Saccharomyces cerevisiae S288C: one gene and its partner. The protein of the gene in region 1 binds, or shares a complex with, the protein of each later gene. Each region holds a gene or a part of one and is shown in the gene's direction. Other genes may lie near its edges.

Region 1 (4,124 bases):
AACTTCGCTCTTGCAATAACTTTGAAACACACGAACAAAGGTTTATTGCGCTTGATTAACGTTGGAAGTATATGATACTAATACTACTTTGTTCTCTAAGTCATCGCTATATGTTTATCTCGAGGAAAAGGTGCACGGCGGTACACAATTACTTCGCCGTTTCGGGTAAAACAAGTGTTACATTTATAATATATATGTATATATGTATGTGCGCGTAAGTATATGCCGTTCATAACAAATCATCTTCTTGTTGCTGGATGGACTCCTTAATTTTATTCAAAATGGTAATTTTCCATTTATCTAGTCTCATAAAATTGTCAAACTCCTTACAGTGTTCGCTTAGCTGCTCGCTATCACCTTCATTAACAGCATCGATTAAACTTTTCAAGAAATTTGACTCCCTTGAATCCGCAAAATTCGGATCTTCACTTTGACCCTCTTGTAAAGTTCTTGCAGCAGCGACTGCATCAGTAGCAGCTAGCTGACAAAGCCCTTTTTTTAGGAAGTAATCCTTCAAACTCCATTGGCTCAATCTATTGCCCATGCTGCTCTTGATCAACTTCGAATATATATCACTTGCTTCAATATATTGACCGTCAAGAGCCTTTAGATCTGCGCATTTGATAAAACACTTATTCGATAATGCTACCGACTGGTCTTGGGCATACCACTCACCAGCGAGCTCATAGCAATCTATAGCTTTTGCATAGTCATGCAAATCATTTTCTAGAATTTCTCCAAGCTCAAACTTGAAATTAGCACCTCTCCGGAACTGCCCCCTATGAGTAAAAATTTGAATAGCATTTTCTAATGAATCCACGGCGTTCACAGAGTTTCCACCGCTTTTAAAGCATTTATAAGCCTCTACGTAGGTATTTCCTGCTTCGTCTTCATTACCAGCCTTTTTCTGATAGTCAGCAGCTTTCAAAAACGAGTCTCCTGCCAAGTTTAACTCTTTTCTTAGACGGTAAATGGTGGCTGCTTGGACACAAAGATCAGCAGCCTCCTCAAACTTGTATGAATCAGAACCGCTAAACAATTTCATGAAACCCGATGAAGGAACACCCTTCTTCTCAGCCTTAACACAACGGGAAATATCAATTCCCGTATTTCAATGTTAGTAATTTGCCTTCGTAAATTACGGAATCACATAGCTTTCATTTTGTTCCTTTGATATATTTCCCTACTACATACTCTTTTCAATAACTCTACAGGGTCTGACATTTTTAACTTTCAGGTTAATGATGGTGTTCTTACTATATTCTCGAGTCGTACAGAAGTTAGTTCAGATAAACTGCTTCGGTGCTGCCCACTTCTTATCATTACTTCAACTTTACCTTCCCTATACCTGTGTGTCCTTATTAATTCAAGTTAATCCGAGGTAATAGATTAGGGTAACCTTCAATGATGTCACGAAACACGGATGCTGCAACTTTGCGATTTTTTCCTGGAAAAGAATAACAATTAAAGGCAGCCTTTCAGCTGAGATTACCAGCAGGTCTTTGGAGATTAGCGCAAGAAGAAGTGTGATATAGTACTCATAGAGGCAGGCTACAGACTAGGGAAAGCGTGTTCAACAACAATAAGAAATGGAGACCAGTTCTTTTGAGAATGCTCCTCCTGCAGCCATCAATGATGCTCAGGATAATAATATAAATACGGAGACTAATGACCAGGAAACAAATCAGCAATCTATCGAAACTAGAGATGCAATTGACAAAGAAAACGGTGTGCAAACGGAAACTGGTGAGAACTCTGCAAAAAATGCCGAACAAAACGTTTCTTCTACAAATTTGAATAATGCCCCCACCAATGGTGCTTTGGACGATGATGTTATCCCAAATGCTATTGTTATTAAAAACATTCCGTTTGCTATTAAAAAAGAGCAATTGTTAGACATTATTGAAGAAATGGATCTTCCCCTTCCTTATGCCTTCAATTACCACTTTGATAACGGTATTTTCAGAGGACTAGCCTTTGCGAATTTCACCACTCCTGAAGAAACTACTCAAGTGATAACTTCTTTGAATGGAAAGGAAATCAGCGGGAGGAAATTGAAAGTGGAATATAAAAAAATGCTTCCCCAAGCTGAAAGAGAAAGAATCGAGAGGGAGAAGAGAGAGAAAAGAGGACAATTAGAAGAACAACACAGATCGTCATCTAATCTTTCTTTGGATTCTTTATCTAAAATGAGTGGAAGCGGAAACAATAATACTTCTAACAATCAATTATTCTCGACTCTAATGAACGGCATTAATGCTAATAGCATGATGAACAGTCCAATGAATAATACCATTAACAATAACAGTTCTAATAACAACAATAGTGGTAACATCATTCTGAACCAACCTTCACTTTCTGCCCAACATACTTCTTCATCGTTGTACCAAACAAACGTTAATAATCAAGCCCAGATGTCCACTGAGAGATTTTATGCGCCTTTACCATCAACTTCCACTTTGCCTCTCCCACCCCAACAACTGGACTTCAATGACCCTGACACTTTGGAAATTTATTCCCAATTATTGTTATTTAAGGATAGAGAAAAGTATTATTACGAGTTGGCTTATCCCATGGGTATATCCGCTTCCCACAAGAGAATTATCAATGTTTTGTGCTCGTACTTAGGGCTAGTAGAAGTATATGATCCAAGATTTATTATTATCAGAAGAAAGATTCTGGATCATGCTAATTTACAATCTCATTTGCAACAACAAGGTCAAATGACATCTGCTCATCCTTTGCAGCCAAACTCCACTGGCGGCTCCATGAATAGGTCACAATCTTATACAAGTTTGTTACAGGCCCATGCAGCAGCTGCAGCGAATAGTATTAGCAATCAGGCCGTTAACAATTCTTCCAACAGCAATACTATTAACAGTAATAACGGTAACGGTAACAATGTCATCATTAATAACAATAGCGCCAGCTCAACACCAAAAATTTCTTCACAGGGACAATTCTCCATGCAACCAACACTAACCTCACCTAAAATGAACATACACCATAGTTCTCAATACAATTCCGCAGACCAACCGCAACAACCTCAACCACAAACACAGCAAAATGTTCAGTCAGCTGCGCAACAACAACAATCTTTTTTAAGACAACAAGCTACTTTAACACCATCCTCAAGAATTCCATCCGGTTATTCTGCCAACCATTATCAAATCAATTCCGTTAATCCCTTACTGAGAAATTCTCAAATTTCACCTCCAAATTCACAAATCCCAATCAACAGCCAAACCCTATCCCAAGCGCAACCACCAGCACAGTCCCAAACTCAACAACGGGTACCAGTGGCATACCAAAATGCTTCATTGTCTTCCCAGCAGTTGTACAACCTTAACGGCCCATCTTCAGCAAACTCACAGTCCCAACTGCTTCCACAGCACACAAATGGCTCAGTACATTCTAATTTCTCATATCAGTCTTATCACGATGAGTCCATGTTGTCCGCACACAATTTGAATAGTGCCGACTTGATCTATAAATCTTTGAGTCACTCTGGACTAGATGATGGCTTGGAACAGGGCTTGAATCGTTCTTTAAGCGGACTGGATTTACAAAACCAAAACAAGAAGAATCTATGGTAATATATACTTCCATTATTCTATGATTATAGAGTTTGTTTGGTATTTGTATATCGCACGATACAAGTAATGAGGGGTGCTTACACAAGATAAAAGATAAAAAAATATATATATATAATAAAAACCATCAAAAACACCATTGAAAAAAAATATAAAAAAAAAAAAAAATAACCGAATATGAATATGAAATTAATGATCATGATGAAGTTAATTTTTACTGAGAAACGTCACCTAATGTCGATGAAACGATGATAATGAATGAATGATGAGGCTACTTTAAGTAACGCAATGTAATCAAGCCAAAATTATCCCTCTTTTTTTTTTTTCCCTCTTTTGAGATTTTATTTTTAACCTACTACTTACTTTTTTTTTTTGAACGTTCTTTTCCCACATACTTTTATATATGGTATTTATATGTACGATGTTTAATCACAGAGATGTTTCTACCTTACTCGATATTGTTTTTGCATTAATTGATATCTTGCTCACTGCATCATTGGCGGTATTTGTAGTATATAGAAAGTCGGGTAA
Region 2 (4,862 bases), on another chromosome or scaffold:
CAGCAGTCTCCCCAAGTAGTATGAACATGTCCTTCAAAATTGCACTCATCATCCTTATCAGTCCCATCATGTATGTGGCCTCTTGGTGGAGATACACCATCCGGACAAGGCAAAAACTCGCTAAAGTAAAAATGTTGCATGATGGGCAATTTACTAAGGACTTCGGCTTTATACATTTTTATCATCCCTTCAGCAACTTTTGACCAAGTCTTTACACCGCTGATGTCATCTAGCATAGGAGAATGCCATCTCAAGGAGGCGGATGACTTGACCTTATTAATAAAAGCGATACAACCAAAATATAAGTACCGATGAGCGAACATTTCTACGAGCTCATTATTGTGAATTGATATCGGCTTTAAGTGCTTGTGGGTGGTTAATTGGAAGGCACCAAATAGAAATGGAAGGAAATGATAATCATCTAATCCCCAAACACCATGAGAGCCCGCAGGCTCAAGCCAATATTTAGTTTCTAGTATCCTCATTATTTTAAGGTATTCTATAAAAACTTTCAGCACGAGGTTAGTTGAATCGTTTGAAAGATTGAATATTCCATAACTATAGAGTCCATAAAGTAAACACATGAAATTTAATTCATGACCTGAACCATAATCAATTCTTCTTTTATTTCCCCATGATTCATCTAGATAAATCGATAATTGTTCCAACTGCTCATCTGTGAGAGAGGGAAATTCGGAACGTAAGATCTTCCTGGAATTCCGTGAAACTTCGTCATAAAAGTCCCTAAACTCAACCTTACCAAATCTCGAGCTATCTGCATCCTTTATTACTGGGTGCTTCTGAGTGATATCTTTTATTTGCGAAAGCAAGTTCATCATACTGTTTATTGACTCCGATATTGGTTCTTTGTACTGGGAATTCTCATGTCCTTTGACAGATTCAGCCAAATCTATAATAAATTTAGTGAAATGAGCTCTTGTTGGGGATTCTTCCCATAGTTTCATATCGTCTGGAGTCAATAGTCTCTTTTCTGGCAACATCTTTTTCTAAATATTTATATTGTTCTTTACGGATTGTTGTTTATGGACTGTTCTTTCTGCACAGGCGACTAACATAAAGTACCTCTCTCTTGTCATTGATATCCCTTTTGTTCTATCACATCCGTTAGGATTTTATTCTGTGCTTACTCACGTGAAAGAGAGGGAAGAGTGTAAAAGTTACCCGAAAATCTATTATGGCGGCTATTGTAGTACGTCCAAAACAACGTATTTCAATGTAAATTCAAAGCAAACACTGAGAAAAAACAAAAACTTACTTATTGGTTCGCTCAGCACCTACCTAAATGGTACTTTTAGAATGATACTGTATTATCTACCGTGGTATCGGCAACTATAGGACGGAGATAAAGCATGCCAAAGTAATTCTTCCTTTATTAGATGAGATTTCAGCGTGAGGTGAACCATCATTTGTTTGGTTGGTGCATTAATAGCCTGCTTCCTTTTAATTAAGCCGGAAAGTGTTTGTCACAGATGTCAATGAAACGTGCATCTATTAACATATTTATTTTCATTTCGAGGGTGAGGTGGTGTGGACGCGTTGATACGGCAACGGGAGTGACGCGTAAAATTGGCAGAAAAATCATCACCGTGGGTAGACTTGGAAATGAAAACATTTATAGAATAAAGGTACAGGTTGAGAAGATAAAGGGTACCAAAGTTACCATTTTGAAATCTCTGATCAAGAAAAGGTAAGAAAGCAGAAAAGGACGGTAGAGATTATTGGAAGACAAACTAATTTTGTATATGCATTCGATTTTCTTAAGCTTTAAAAGAGAGAATAGTGAGAAAAGATAGTGTTACACAACATCAACTAAAAATGGAAAATATTACACAACCCACACAGCAATCCACGCAGGCTACTCAAAGGTTTTTGATTGAGAAGTTTTCTCAAGAACAGATCGGCGAAAACATTGTGTGCAGGGTCATTTGTACCACGGGTCAAATTCCCATCCGAGATTTGTCAGCTGATATTTCACAAGTGCTTAAGGAAAAACGATCCATAAAGAAAGTTTGGACATTTGGTAGAAACCCAGCCTGTGACTATCATTTAGGAAACATTTCAAGACTGTCAAATAAGCATTTCCAAATACTACTAGGAGAAGACGGTAACCTTTTATTGAATGACATTTCCACTAATGGGACCTGGTTAAATGGGCAAAAAGTCGAGAAGAACAGCAATCAGTTACTGTCTCAAGGTGATGAAATAACCGTTGGTGTAGGCGTGGAATCAGATATTTTATCTCTGGTCATTTTCATAAACGACAAATTTAAGCAGTGCCTCGAGCAGAACAAAGTTGATCGCATAAGATCTAACCTGAAAAATACCTCTAAAATAGCTTCTCCTGGTCTTACATCATCTACTGCATCATCAATGGTGGCCAACAAGACTGGTATTTTTAAGGATTTTTCGATTATTGACGAAGTGGTGGGCCAGGGTGCATTTGCCACAGTAAAGAAAGCCATTGAAAGAACTACTGGGAAAACATTCGCGGTGAAGATTATAAGTAAACGCAAAGTAATAGGCAATATGGATGGTGTGACAAGAGAGTTAGAAGTATTGCAAAAGCTCAATCATCCAAGGATAGTACGATTGAAAGGATTTTATGAAGATACTGAGAGTTATTATATGGTGATGGAGTTCGTTTCTGGTGGTGACTTAATGGATTTTGTTGCTGCTCATGGTGCGGTTGGAGAAGATGCTGGGAGGGAGATATCCAGGCAGATACTCACAGCAATAAAATACATTCACTCTATGGGCATCAGCCATCGTGACCTAAAGCCCGATAATATTCTTATTGAACAAGACGATCCTGTATTGGTAAAGATAACCGACTTTGGTCTGGCAAAAGTACAAGGAAATGGGTCTTTTATGAAAACCTTCTGTGGCACTTTGGCATATGTGGCACCTGAAGTCATCAGAGGTAAAGATACATCCGTATCTCCTGATGAATACGAAGAAAGGAATGAGTACTCTTCGTTAGTGGATATGTGGTCAATGGGATGTCTTGTGTATGTTATCCTAACGGGCCACTTACCTTTTAGTGGTAGCACACAGGACCAATTATATAAACAGATTGGAAGAGGCTCATATCATGAAGGGCCCCTCAAAGATTTCCGGATATCTGAAGAAGCAAGAGATTTCATAGATTCATTGTTACAGGTGGATCCAAATAATAGGTCGACAGCTGCAAAAGCCTTGAATCATCCCTGGATCAAGATGAGTCCATTGGGCTCACAATCATATGGTGATTTTTCACAAATATCCTTATCACAATCGTTGTCGCAGCAGAAATTATTAGAAAATATGGACGATGCTCAATACGAATTTGTCAAAGCGCAAAGGAAATTACAAATGGAGCAACAACTTCAAGAACAGGATCAGGAAGACCAAGATGGAAAAATTCAAGGATTTAAAATACCCGCACACGCCCCTATTCGATATACACAGCCCAAAAGCATTGAAGCAGAAACTAGAGAACAAAAACTTTTACATTCCAATAATACTGAGAATGTCAAGAGCTCAAAGAAAAAGGGTAATGGTAGGTTTTTAACTTTAAAACCATTGCCTGACAGCATTATTCAAGAAAGCCTGGAGATTCAGCAAGGTGTGAATCCATTTTTCATTGGTAGATCCGAGGATTGCAATTGTAAAATTGAAGACAATAGGTTGTCTCGAGTTCATTGCTTCATTTTCAAAAAGAGGCATGCTGTAGGCAAAAGCATGTATGAATCTCCGGCACAAGGTTTAGATGATATTTGGTATTGCCACACCGGAACTAACGTGAGCTATTTAAATAATAACCGCATGATACAGGGTACGAAATTCCTTTTACAAGACGGAGATGAAATCAAGATCATTTGGGATAAAAACAATAAATTTGTCATTGGCTTTAAAGTGGAAATTAACGATACTACAGGTCTGTTTAACGAGGGATTAGGTATGTTACAAGAACAAAGAGTAGTACTTAAGCAAACAGCCGAAGAAAAAGATTTGGTGAAAAAGTTAACCCAGATGATGGCAGCTCAACGTGCAAATCAACCCTCGGCTTCTTCTTCATCAATGTCGGCTAAGAAGCCGCCAGTTAGCGATACAAATAATAACGGCAATAATTCGGTACTAAACGACTTGGTAGAGTCACCGATTAATGCGAATACGGGGAACATTTTGAAGAGAATACATTCGGTAAGTTTATCGCAATCACAAATTGATCCTAGTAAGAAGGTTAAAAGGGCAAAATTGGACCAAACCTCAAAAGGCCCCGAGAATTTGCAATTTTCGTAACCAAGGACAAATACCCATAGAAAATGCTGCCCCTTTTTAAGAGAGAAGATGGTAGATACCAATACTCAGAATTCATCTATTCATAACTTTTTGGGTTTTTATTACATATAGAGTGACGTTTTGATACGATTTACATTTTGAAATATATAGATTTTTGTATATTAATAAGTTTTGATTTTCAGTTTTAGTTATGCTTAATGAATTTTTGAATCAGAAAAAGAAGTTCTGAAAAAAACATAATCCTGCTTGATGTGGTACAACAAGCTCATAAATAATTTTAAAAAGTTTGTTAATCCGTTTTCAATATCTTGAGCTCCTCAATTGTATTTGCTGAGGTCTGATTATTTCTATAACCAAAAGCGGTTATTGAATCTATGGAGAGGCTGTAACCCGTCTTATGCCTTCCGGGTACTATATTTCATTTGCGGGTGTCGATGGATTAAGGGGCGGAGGCGGCCCTTTTTAGGATTTATATAAAAAGCCATACTTCCGTACTTCGTAACCTCTTATCAACTGGTTAAGGGAACAGAGTAAAGAAGTTTGGGTAATTCGCTGCTATT

Evidence for each region. Proteins that work in one complex are often made in the same cells at the same time.
Region 2: the proteins of PIN4 (region 1) and RAD53 are in contact, whole or in part, in an NMR structure (PDB 2A0T), measured with the Saccharomyces cerevisiae proteins. Residues at the interface, in NP_009502.1 of Saccharomyces cerevisiae: Pro303 (codon at 2,496), Asp304 (codon at 2,499), Thr305 (codon at 2,502), Leu306 (codon at 2,505), Glu307 (codon at 2,508), Ile308 (codon at 2,511), Tyr309 (codon at 2,514); in NP_015172.1 of Saccharomyces cerevisiae: Arg70 (codon at 2,044), Ile81 (codon at 2,077), Ser82 (codon at 2,080), Arg83 (codon at 2,083), Leu84 (codon at 2,086), Ser85 (codon at 2,089), Asn86 (codon at 2,092), Thr106 (codon at 2,152), Asn107 (codon at 2,155), Gly135 (codon at 2,239), Val136 (codon at 2,242).

Annotation. Positions count from the first base shown.
Region 1 is NC_001134.8:122,225-126,348, reverse strand, and holds PIN4 (Pin4p), read left to right. Parts: upstream 1-1,589; coding exon 1,590-3,596; downstream 3,597-4,124. Other genes in the region: alpha-soluble NSF attachment protein SEC17, read right to left, coding at 230-1,078, 1,195-1,224. UniProt on the Saccharomyces cerevisiae protein: Involved in normal G2/M phase transition of the mitotic cell cycle. In association with RAD53, also involved in checkpoint control in response to DNA damage.
Region 2 is NC_001148.4:261,167-266,028, reverse strand, and holds RAD53 (serine/threonine/tyrosine protein kinase RAD53), read left to right. Parts: upstream 1-1,836; coding exon 1,837-4,302; downstream 4,303-4,862. Other genes in the region: peptidylprolyl isomerase RRD2, read right to left, coding at 1-1,001; YPL152W-A (uncharacterized protein), read right to left, coding at 1,329-1,427. UniProt on the Saccharomyces cerevisiae protein: Controls S-phase checkpoint as well as G1 and G2 DNA damage checkpoints. Phosphorylates proteins on serine, threonine, and tyrosine. Prevents entry into anaphase and mitotic exit after DNA damage via regulation of the Polo kinase CDC5.